Macaca fascicularis: one gene and its partners. The protein of the gene in region 1 interacts with the protein of each later gene in a pairwise test. Links are inferred from orthologs where the notes say so. Each region holds a gene or a part of one and is shown on either strand. Other genes may lie near its edges.

The links.
Region 2: the proteins of BYSL (region 1) and MRFAP1L1 interact in binary tests that used the Homo sapiens proteins (3 or more experiments, as listed by UniProt). The two-hybrid records come from large-scale screens. The link is inferred for Macaca fascicularis from reciprocal best matches to the Homo sapiens genes BYSL and MRFAP1L1.
Region 3: the proteins of BYSL (region 1) and KRT40 interact in binary tests that used the Homo sapiens proteins (3 or more experiments, as listed by UniProt). The two-hybrid records come from large-scale screens. The link is inferred for Macaca fascicularis from reciprocal best matches to the Homo sapiens genes BYSL and KRT40.

Annotation. Positions count from the first base shown.
Region 1 is NC_088378.1:129,635,237-129,638,987, reverse strand, and holds the end of BYSL (bystin), read left to right. Parts: coding exon 1-27; intron 28-671; coding exon 672-832; intron 833-1,003; coding exon 1,004-1,106; intron 1,107-1,645; coding exon 1,646-1,991; 3' UTR 1,992-3,605; downstream 3,606-3,751. UniProt on the Homo sapiens protein: Required for processing of 20S pre-rRNA precursor and biogenesis of 40S ribosomal subunits. May be required for trophinin-dependent regulation of cell adhesion during implantation of human embryos.
Region 2 is NC_088379.1:6,384,436-6,388,017, reverse strand, and holds MRFAP1L1 (MORF4 family-associated protein 1-like 1), read right to left. Parts: upstream 2,795-3,582; 5' UTR 2,552-2,794; coding exon 2,168-2,551; 3' UTR 2,153-2,167; intron 1,568-2,152; 3' UTR 625-1,567; downstream 1-624.
Region 3 is NC_088390.1:62,068,484-62,072,234, reverse strand, and holds the start of KRT40 (keratin, type I cytoskeletal 40), read left to right. Parts: upstream 1-1,452; 5' UTR 1,453-1,506; coding exon 1,507-1,953; intron 1,954-2,651; coding exon 2,652-2,734; intron 2,735-3,347; coding exon 3,348-3,504; intron 3,505-3,751. UniProt on the Homo sapiens protein: May play a role in late hair differentiation.

The DNA.
Region 1 (3,751 bases):
TGCAGCCGCCATGTACCAAGCCACCAGGTAGAGTAGATGGGGATTTGCAGGCCTTGGGTCTATAGGTGTAGGCTGGGCTTGGGACGGGCAGGCTTTCCTTGCCTCTGGCCCCAGGGCCCTCTCTGCTACTTTATAGCATCATTTTTCTAGCTTTTCTTGTGTCATTTTTTGGGGCCAAGACCCAGTTAGCCAGTTAGGAACCCTCTGTGATGAATTTCTAGGGGAAGAGGCTTTTATAGCCACTGGGATACAGCCCTCCATGATCAATTTCTAGGGGAGAGGCTTTTATAGCCACTGGATACAACCCTGTAGCAGGACCCTCAGAAGTCTGTGACTGTCCAGACATGCTCAGGGCCCTAGTGATAGCAAAATTGAGAGAAGCCATGATAGCAAGAGGAAGGAGAGTAGCTGAGTAGCCATCAGTTTGCACAAGCTCTGGCTCTCCCACAGACAGACGGCACTCCTCATTTGGATATATCTCATTGCCCCTCCTATTCTCTCTCTAAGCTGATGGGTGTTGCATGCACACAGCTCCCACACATCCCTCACTGAAAGAAAGGTCCCATATTTTACTTTAAAACCTCTTGTATGCACTATCCATGGTGATATTTAATGGGCCGGGTCCAGACTGTCGTGTGACTTGGAAACTTCCCCGACTTAACTCCCACTAGGATTTTTGCCTCTAACCTGAAGGAACGCATGGCCCAGCGCTTCTACAACCTTGTCCTGCTCCCGCGAGTACGAGATGACATTGCTGAATACAAACGACTCAACTTCCATCTCTATATGGCTCTCAAGAAGGCCCTTTTCAAACCTGGAGCCTGGTTCAAAGGTGGGATCCCAGAGGCAGGGAAGAAAGTGAAGGGCTGGAGCTTCTATGGGGAACACAGCAGGCCTGGTGTGGGAAATTGCTAGCTGTCCCTGGGCTGGGTGGGAATGCTTCCTACTGTAACTCCTTTTTCTCATCCTGGGCTCATAGTGACTGCCCTTTGACTCTCCCCAGGGGTCCTGATTCCACTGTGCGAGTCTGGCACTTGCACCCTCCGGGAAGCCATCATTGTGGGTAGCATCATCACCAAGTGCTCCATCCCTGTGTTGCACTCCAGGTAGCGTTGCTGGGGGTGGAGCGGCGGGGTGGGGGCTGGTCAGTGGATATCCAGATAGTGGAATTGCCAGGACTTGGGGATGGGTAGAGTGGAGAAGAAGCTAAGGATAGTCTTGGGTTTGTGCTTATTTAAGCCAATGAGTAGGTGTATCATTATCCCCCTAAATGTAAGTTCTGCAACAACAGGGCCCGAGTGCCTGGTATAAAGAAAGTACTCAGTAAATAGATGAACAAATGAGTAGGAAACACAGGAAGAAAGTAGTTAGGGTGGAGACGTTGAGATGTTTGGACCATACTCTAGTTGGGTACTGAAACAAGCAGTCTATGCTGGAGGTAGAGATTTGGGTGGATCCCTGTAGAGATGGTGACTCAAGTCAAGCGAGTATAATACGATTGGGTAGGTGAGAAGGTCCCTGGGGAATACCATAGTGTAAGGGCCAGCAGAGGGGAAGAAAAAAGGGGGAAAGCACAGAGGGAGAAGTAGGATCCTTCTTCCAATGTTTTCCCCGCTAACTCTACCCCACCTCCCTTTCCCACTAGCGCGGCCATGCTGAAAATTGCTGAGATGGAATACAGTGGTGCCAACAGCATCTTCCTGCGACTGCTGCTGGATAAGAAGTATGCACTGCCTTACCGGGTGCTGGATGCCCTAGTCTTCCACTTCCTGGGGTTCCGGACAGAGAAGCGTGAACTGCCTGTGCTCTGGCACCAGTGCCTCCTGACTTTGGTCCAGCGCTACAAGGCCGACTTGGCCACAGACCAGAAAGAGGCCCTCTTAGAACTGCTCCGGCTGCAGCCCCATCCACAGCTATCCCCCGAAATCAGGCGTGAGCTTCAGAGCGCAGTCCCCCGAGATGTGGAAGATGTTCCCATCACCATGGAGTGAGAAAACAGTCAGTTGTCCTGGCCAAAGGGGTTTGGAAGGACACCAAGACCCCCGTTGGTGACTGAAGATGACACCAAACCTTAATGGCTAAAGACCCAGATCAGGGCAGTGACAGATCACAGGAACATCTGTGGCTTCCAGTCCAGGACAGGAAGGACTGAGGGTCTGGCTGGTTCCCTCTTCCATTCTAGGCCCTTACCCCTGTTCAGTTCTGAGAGCCGACTTATACCATACACTGGCATTCCCAGTCCCCAGCTGGGGCTTGGTGTGAGTACTTTTTCTATGGCTATTGTGTCAGGTCACTGTGGATAAAGGCAAAGGCAGGTATTTATTGAACCTGTGTGTTTGGTGTAGTAAATGGAGGTGGGCATTACTCCTGTTAGTATCTGGAAGATGGAGGACATTCTTGTCCCGTTTATATAGGAGCCACCTCCCTTGATCTCCAAGCTTGTTTCTCCAGGCTACATTCACCTTGTTAGCCACCTGGGGACACATCCTCTGCCTTCTCCCATGACAGGCTGCAGCAGCCAGGAGCAGGTTGTCCAAAGATGGTCATGTGTCAGCTGTGGATGAAAGGACTACAAGAGAAAACTTGAGGAAAGCAGAGATACAGTCAAGAAAGGCCAGAGAATAAGGCTGGGCCCAAGAAGAGTTAGATCAGAGCTAGCATCAAACAGGCTCCCTTTCTGGCTTTTCAGCCAATGAAAGCTTTAGTGACTAGTAAACTACGGCCAAGTGCCCCTTTTTTTGTTGATTTATTTTTTGAGACAGAATCTCGCTCTGTTGCCCAGGCTGGAGTACAGTGGCATGATCTTGGCTCACTGCAGCCTCCGCCTCCTGGGTTCGATAGATTCTCTTGCCTCAGCCTCCTGAGTAGCTGAGACTACGGGTGCGTGCCACCACGCCTGGCTAATTTTTAAATTTTTAGTAGAGATGGGGTTTCACCAGGTTGGCCAGGCTGGTCTCGAACTCCTGACCTCAGGTGATCCACCCGCCTCAGCCTCCCAAAGTGCTGGGATGACAGGCGTGAGCCACCGCACCCAGCCCAAGTGCCTGTTTTTGTGTGGCCCATGAGCTAAGAATGATTTTTCCATTTTTAAATGGGGAAAAAAATTAACAGTATTTTGTGATAGGTAGGAATTACATGAAATTCCAGTTTCAGCATCCATAATTTTGTTGGAACAGCCATGCTCACCCATTTACATGTTTCACGTGGCTGCTTTTGTGCTACAACAGCAGAGTTAAGTATAATCCTGCTATAACCCTTATTTGCTTCCAAAATTGTGCATTTGTTCCAACCCATTTAATATATTTGGGAACAGTTTGATCATAACGCAGGCTTAATGTTTGCTTGTGTATGATTTCATCCTCGAGAAACATTAGGTGAATATGGGAAACTGTACCCAGCTGAACCAAGCCTAACTAGTACACAAAACTCACACTTGAACATGTACCAGCTACCTCACTTAGCTGCCCACCTGTGTTGAGCAACCCTTCCAACATCCACTTCCAAAAGCAAAGTGCATGTCTTCAAGATAAAAGGCCGTATTTATTGTAATATTTATGTATTTCTCAACCATTTGACATGTAAAAACCAAGCTATCCTTTTTTTAACATGTGTCACTCATTTGAGTGTTGTGCTTCAAGCCCCATTTTTCCCATGAGACCTGTGGTTTTTATTGTGCAAATTGCATGGCATAGTGATTTTCAGGAACACATAGGTCACATTATAAAGAGAACTGATTATATTTGGGTCAGAG
Region 2 (3,582 bases), on another chromosome or scaffold:
CTCAAGTACAGGTTTATGAAGATCAACTAATTCCTTAACGAAGATCTCTTGGCCCCGCCTGCCAGTTTCACTCTGTCTCCCACAACCCCCTCCAGGCTCCTTAACATCCAGCTCACTGGCCGTCTCCCCAGTGCTGGAACTCAAAAGGCTTTTGCTCACTTTGATCCTTATGCCTTATATGTCTTCATTCATTTCTACTTTTCAGGCCCAGGTAAGTCACCTGCTCTGAATTCACACACTTCCCTACTAAGAGTTGACTCCCTCCTCAGGGCTCCCACATGATATCCACACACTCTATATCGCAATTCCTTGTTTCCATTTCTGTCCCACACCTTCGTCCCATCCATGTCTCACCTTTATGTTCCTAGTGCCTTGGATAAGATATGAAGCACGTTACATTCCCACTGGTTGACTAAACACACTTCTGCTGCTGAAAAGCAGGGGCTTGGCCCAGAGGATAGCCGAAAAGTTTTTCTCTTCAGAACTGAGTGTTCCGTCAGCTCATCTCCACAGCACCTTCCAGAAATAATTCTCCCTCAGTTAAAGGCTTACCAAGAGCCTTTAACTACAAGCAGTTCAACCCCATTTGATGACACTCAGTGAAGAACATCCATTTCAAAAAGATTGATTTATGATTCTTTTATTAACACACACAGGAGGGGCTTTGGTCATGTGAACAAAAAATTTATTTTTTAAAAAAGGCTTTTTAGGTCTTTGTTTTTCAAGGCAAATTAATACTTACTATACGTTTGACTTTGACCTCCAATCTGACAGGTCTACTACCCTGATGAACTGGAAGAGACTTTCCAGGCCCTGATAATGTCTTTTCCTTTCTCTGGCCTCTTAAAGCTCTTTGTAGACTGTCTCTTCGATGCCATTCTCTGATGCCCCTGTAATGTGTGAGGGTATTACGACAGTTCCTAATCAAACTGCCTTGTCATAAAAGGTCAGCTATGTGGTCTAAATCAACTCACCTGACAGGTTACACAATATATATCAGACAATGTGCCACAAAACATAGCTCTCCTCTTTCATCTCACAGAGGAACTAAAGTTCCAAAATATATACAAAACCACCTTCCATCTCCAACTGTCTTCTCGTTCTTCCCAGCTTTATGCAAAGCAGTCTCATTAATACATTCTTCACCAGGCTCAACCAGGCAGCGTAGTATCTTCCACTGCACCTCTAAAGTTGGAAGATTCTGATCCCAAGTCTTGACGTGTTCCAAAAAACGATCAGGTCACAAAGGTAACAGCAAAATACAAGGCCATGCCCAACATTTCAAAAACACAGCGAAGTAACAAGAATAAACGTGACCACGAAAACAACTTAATTAAGCCCCATTTCTCTTGTGAAAGTATTTCTTCGACAAAAGTTGTATTTCCAGAACCAAACACATTTGATGATCTAAATCCATATCGAGGTCATCAATCACTGACCATAAGGGAGACTGTTACATGGGGGTAAAAAACATACAAAAACAAAACAGAGAAAATGACAAGCTGTTTCAGTTTCCTCAAGGTGTCAGTTCATCCTTACCAGTTGACTACAGTCCTCAGCTGTGAACCTAAAGCACAATTGGGAGAAATTTACCATGAAGACATTGACTCTCAAAGTTCCATATCTTGATGTTAAAAATAAATGTGAACCACCCAGAAGAATGCCACTTCTTTGAGACACGGTCCTCTGACATACCTGTCTCATAGAACAGTCTGGAAATTTCAGGTAATGGCCTCTGGCTTTACTCTTTTATTTCTTTCCCTGCGTTCTCAGCCTGCGTTCCATTGTGCTCCACAGCCTAGGTCTTCTGTGGCTTTCCCCAAACTCCCTTAGTGCCGAGACAGGTCTACTTCCTGGCGACTGCCCTATTAGAACTGACTTACGTTTCACAAAAACAAACCCGAAGTTACTTTTATTTTTCTCTAATTACCAGTGTGGGAGGGCGAGGCCACAAAAAAACGGTATACTAACACCTAACAAAACCAGCACGCATTCTTTCCTCTTGACCCCAACTTTGTTCCCAATGCTCAATTTTTGATGCGATAAAATGGGGGATGCAGGCCTAGAACATAACTTTTTACAGGGCGCGGTTTAACCATGCTTAGGGGGACTACTGAGTTCCATCCAAGCTCCCGCGAGTTTCCGACCTTACCGCCGATCTCCTCCTTCAAGAAGACTCGCTTCTCTCTATTCGCCAGACGAGCTCGACCAGCATCTCTGCCATCTTCGCAATCTCCTTGGCCTTCTCCTCAGCCTTCTCGCACAACTCCGACACTCTCTCGTCGGCTTCGCCACTCGGGTGCTGCACGTGATTGAGGGCGCTCTCCTCCGAGGCCTCTACCTGCGTTTTGATCTGGATGAGCATATTGTCCATCTCCCACAGCTTGCTCCTGGTTCGCAGGTACGCCCGCCCGTGCTCGCGTATAAGAGACGCGATGTCCTCGCGCATCTCGTTGATGACCGGGAGCAGGAACTGCTCGAAGTCCTCCTCCGGCTCCAGCACCTCCACTTCCTCAGGCGCTTCCACCTCGTCTATGTCCAGGGGCCGCATCTCCTCCTGCCGCTTCTTCAGTACCGGAGGGGCGTTCTTCTTACCGGAACCCCCCAGGGACTGGAGATCAGCAGTGATTGCTGGAGGCTGAGCCCACACGCTTTGTCAATAGTACTCCCGAATTATCTTTACTTTTTTTCTTCCTTTTAATTGTAAGCCTTTAGCTTTAGAACTCCGTGGGAAGAATCGCCGTGGATACACACAGCAAAGCGACCTGCGAAATGGAGTCGCAGCCGTCAACTCGCCCTCGGCCTTTTTGCGGCCCTTTCACGACAGAGCCGGGCTCCTTTACGGTCACGCCTTCGGCGAGACCCAGTAGCGGGCGCGCGCACGTAAAGGGGTCTCGGGCGCGCGCATGGCTATCCCCGTCAGCTTCCCGGCGCCCCGCCTCGCCCTCTTCTCTAATTTAGATTGGTGGCGGCAGGTTTGTTCGCGTCTTCCCCTAAAGCTTCCCTTCAGAGGGGTTTTACTTTTATTATTATTTTTTTAAAGTAAAAATGACCCTCCCTTCCCCATATTTGAATAAGACTGGCTGGCGTTCACAGCGCTTACTATCTAAGCATGCAGAAGCTTGGATTAATTTATATGAATTCACTTAGCCCTCACAACGAACCTATAAGAGAAGTAAAAACCGGGCTAAAAGTCGTGATTTGAGCTCAAAGCAATGTGGGTCCACAGTCCCTGCTCAGTGTTCTAGAATGGAACTCGTCCCTCTGTCCTCCCCACCCCTGGCTCATACTTTTGTTCTGGGGGGAATTTCGCTCGCTGCCTTGGGTGGTTCTGGCCCGTGATTTTTGGTCTCTCTTCAGAGTCTGTAAGGTCCTCAAGGTAAAGGGCAACTTCTGTTTCAGTTCTGTCCTCCGCCCTTTCCGTCAGCCTGGCGTCAAGCAGGGCCTTAGAGAATGCTTTAGAGAGAGGAATTGCCTAGTACCTAAGTGCCTCTACCAGACTGGAGGCTGTTTGGGGACAGGTTCTGGTCTTGGTCACCTTTATGTCCCTCCACACACAAGACCTGAAAATGAGCAGGGACC
Region 3 (3,751 bases), on another chromosome or scaffold:
TCATATTTGTTGCAGAGCAGCGTCAATATACCATGAGACACTCTAAGAACTTTTTGCATAAGTGTTGATGTGTAAAGAGAATCACTAAATTCAAACCTAACTCTGCCCAGGGAGTAATAAATCCTCAGAGACTATTTTAACTCACTTACATATGTTCTTCTGGTTTGGTTTCTATTATCAGCTACCTAGGAAGTAGCCCTCAGGATTAGGGGAAAAAATAAGTTTATTCTGGATCAAAAAATTTTTAACTTTTTCAGATTACTGTGTTTTCTTTTCCTATAATGTTCTCAAAAATTCTACAGGCAATTTTCTCTATGCACCTTTGAAAATGAAATAAACATAACGACTAAAACCAAGCAAAGTGAAACAGATTATGCTTCATAATGGAGCTGAAATCCAAGACAGAATCCAAAAAAGTTACACATCTCAAGTTCCTATCTGTCAGATTTGGCACCAGAGATTTCATCCAGTGGAATCACTGATTTGGAACCTAAATAAAATTTTATTTTGCAAGTTCCAGCAGTTTTAATTTTCATGAAATTCAGGCCTTCATAAATAAATAAATAGGAGAAAACAGGCTGTACATCTCAGAAGAAAAGACTCCTGTGGGTTCCTTGTCCCTACTCTGAAGTATAATCATTGAGGAATTCCCAAGGGACTAAAAGGTTATAACTTACAATTTATATTTCACTCTCATTAGAAATACACGTAAAATAGTGTAACTTATCTAATAACAAGAAATGAGAAATGGGGAGAAGGCAAGTTTCAGAAAATCAAAGATCATAATTCCAGCTCTAACCAATTTATATTTTAGCCTGCAGAAAAACAAGTTATTCCTATCAGTTACGTAAAGTGACTTTTCCATTTGTACGCAGGTAGACATGTTTGTATACACACACACAAACACACACACACACATTAAGTCCAATATATAGCTCACTCCTCCAGTCTTGTCAGCACATACTCTGAGAACACAAAAAGCATTGAAAGATTGCTAATCACACTGACCATTTTTATGGTGGTGGCACAAACAAATAAATGTCATTTTATGAGCTGTAATACTAATTTTAAAAGGGGACCCAAGCAATCAATGCACAGAATCAAAATCTGTGGACATGTTATTTTCCTGATTTGTAATGAGTTGTATCTATAATTATTGATTGGCCAAATTTTCTCTTTCTTTTCTTATTCTGTCAAAAGGACAATGTTTCCTATGACAATTTTCTGAAATAAGTGTTTTGTCTGGCACATGGAAATGGTGTAGGTCCTGCTTCGGTAACCTAAAGTTATCCCTCTTTTATGAGGCATAAAACTCTTCCTCAGTAAATAAACAACTCTAATGAGATGTTTGTATGAAAACTGGCACCATCAGTGATAAAGAAAACATCCGGTGCAGTCTGTAAACACCCATTTTGGGGCGTTATAAAACTCTCAGGAGGGAAGGAGAGTTTTGGAGTCAAGGCAACTGAAGTTTTGCAGCCAGCCTCTGTCTTTGCTTCTGGAAGGATGACTTCTGACTGTTCCTCCACACACTGCTCTCCTGAATCCTGTACCACGGCCTCCGGTTGTGCACCTGCCTCAAGCTGTTGCATAGAAACAGCTTGTCTCCCCGGTGCCTGTGCTACATCCCGATGTCAGACTCCAAGCTTCCTATCCAGGTCTCGCGGGCTGACTGGTTGCCTCCTGCCATGCTACTTTACTGGGAGTTGTAACAGTCCCTGCTTGGTGGGGAACTGTGCCTGGTGTGAGGATGGGGTGTTCACTAGCAATGAGAAGGAGACGATGCAGTTCCTGAATGACAGACTTGCCAACTATCTGGAGAAGGTGCGCAGCCTGGAGGAGACCAACGCAGAGCTGGAATCCAGGATCCAAGAACAATGTGAACAGGATATCCCAATGGTGTGCCCGGATTATCAGTGTTACTTCAACACCATTGAAGATCTCCAACAAAAGGTGTGTGTCCTGTTGCCCTAGTGCTCCACCTTCCGGATCTATGACTTGCTTTATCTTTCTACCAGAGGGACGGTTTTCCAGAAGGCAACCAAGGGAAAGGGGAATTCCAGGAGTTAATGGTACATAGGGGAGACCACTGGACTGAAAGTCAGAAAACCTCAGCACCAGCGCCAGAACTACCCCTGATAACTGAGTGACTATAATAAAGTAACTCGCCCTTAGGCTTTTCCTTCATCATCTATAGAATGCAGAAAAACTGTATTACATCCAAAATCGCTTTTGTATTTGACACTGAACATTTATATTATCTGAACACAAATCGTCAAATGCCATCTTTTTAACCACCTAGTAATCATTTGCTTGTCTCCTTGATGAATTTCTATTATTATGGGAGAGGATAGAGTCATAATACAAACTACTGATGGAGAAAACGTTAATGGTGTTCAACTGCCTAGGGATGTTGCAAAGTGTCTTATGTTATTAAAAAACTAAACCTTTTTATTTCTCTATTTTGCTTCTAAATTGGCACTGCTTTTTTCTTCATGAAGCGACAAGGTCAATAAGAAAAGCAGGCTGAGGGTGATTTTATACTTTCTTATAAAGACTTTCAAAAGATAACTAATGGCACAGCTGTTGGATAGAAGTTTATTTAGGTTTCTCTCAAAGAATCATTTGTCACATAATGGCTTGCTTCCCAGATCTTATGCACGAAAGCAGAGAATTCTAGACTTGCTGTACAGCTTGACAACTGCAAACTGGCCACTGATGACTTTAAGTCAAAGTAAGTTTAATTTAATTTAATTTAATTTAATTTAATTTAATTTAATTTACTTATTTTGAGGAGTTTCACTCTTGTCGCCCAGGCTAGAGTGCAATGGCGCTATCTCGGCTCACTGCAACCTCTGCTTCCTGGGTTCAAGCGATTCTCCTGCCTCAGCCTCCTGAGTAGCCGGGATTACAGGCAGGCGTGCGCCGCCACCCACACCCAGCTAATTTTTGTATTTTCAGTAGAGATGGGGTTTCACCATGTGGACCAGGCTGGTCTTGAACTCCTGACCTCAGGTGATCCACCTGCCTCGGCCTCCCAAAGTGCTGGGATTACAGGCATGAGCCACCACACCCTGCCTTAATTTTAATTTGAAAATAATTTATGGCTCGCTCTCTCTCTCTCTCTTAATCTCTCTCTCTCTCACACACACACACCCCCACAAATATTCTCTATATAATATTTTAAAGTCAAGAATGTTTTAAAAGCTTGAATTTATCATTACTTAGGAATTAAGAGAAATTATGCATGTGGCTTCCTGAAGTCCATGTGTCGATCCTCCACGTATCCCCACACTTTGCACAGCGTTCAGCAAAGTAAGCATTGGATTTCTCTTTTGCCGTGAAAGGTACGAGAGTGAACTGTCCTTTCGCCAGCTATTAGAGGCAGACATCAGTGGCCTGCATGGGATCCTGGATGAGCTGACCCTGTGCAAATCTGATGTGGAGGCCCATGTGGAGTCTCTGAAGGAAGATCTCCTTTGCCTTAAGAAAAACCATGAAGAGGTAAGGAAAGCGGCAACGCCACTGAAGGACTCCGAGAGTAACGTACTTAACACTGACAGATGATCTGTTGATGTTTGTAAATCAAATTTGGGCGGATGTTGCTTAAGCTGGAATAAAACTACTCCAGGCAGGGCCAAGCGCGGTGGCTCATGCCTGTAATCCGAGCACTTCGGGAGGCCGAGGCAGGTAGATCACAAGGTCAGGAGTTCGAGACCAGCCTGGCCAATATGATGAAACCCCATCTCTA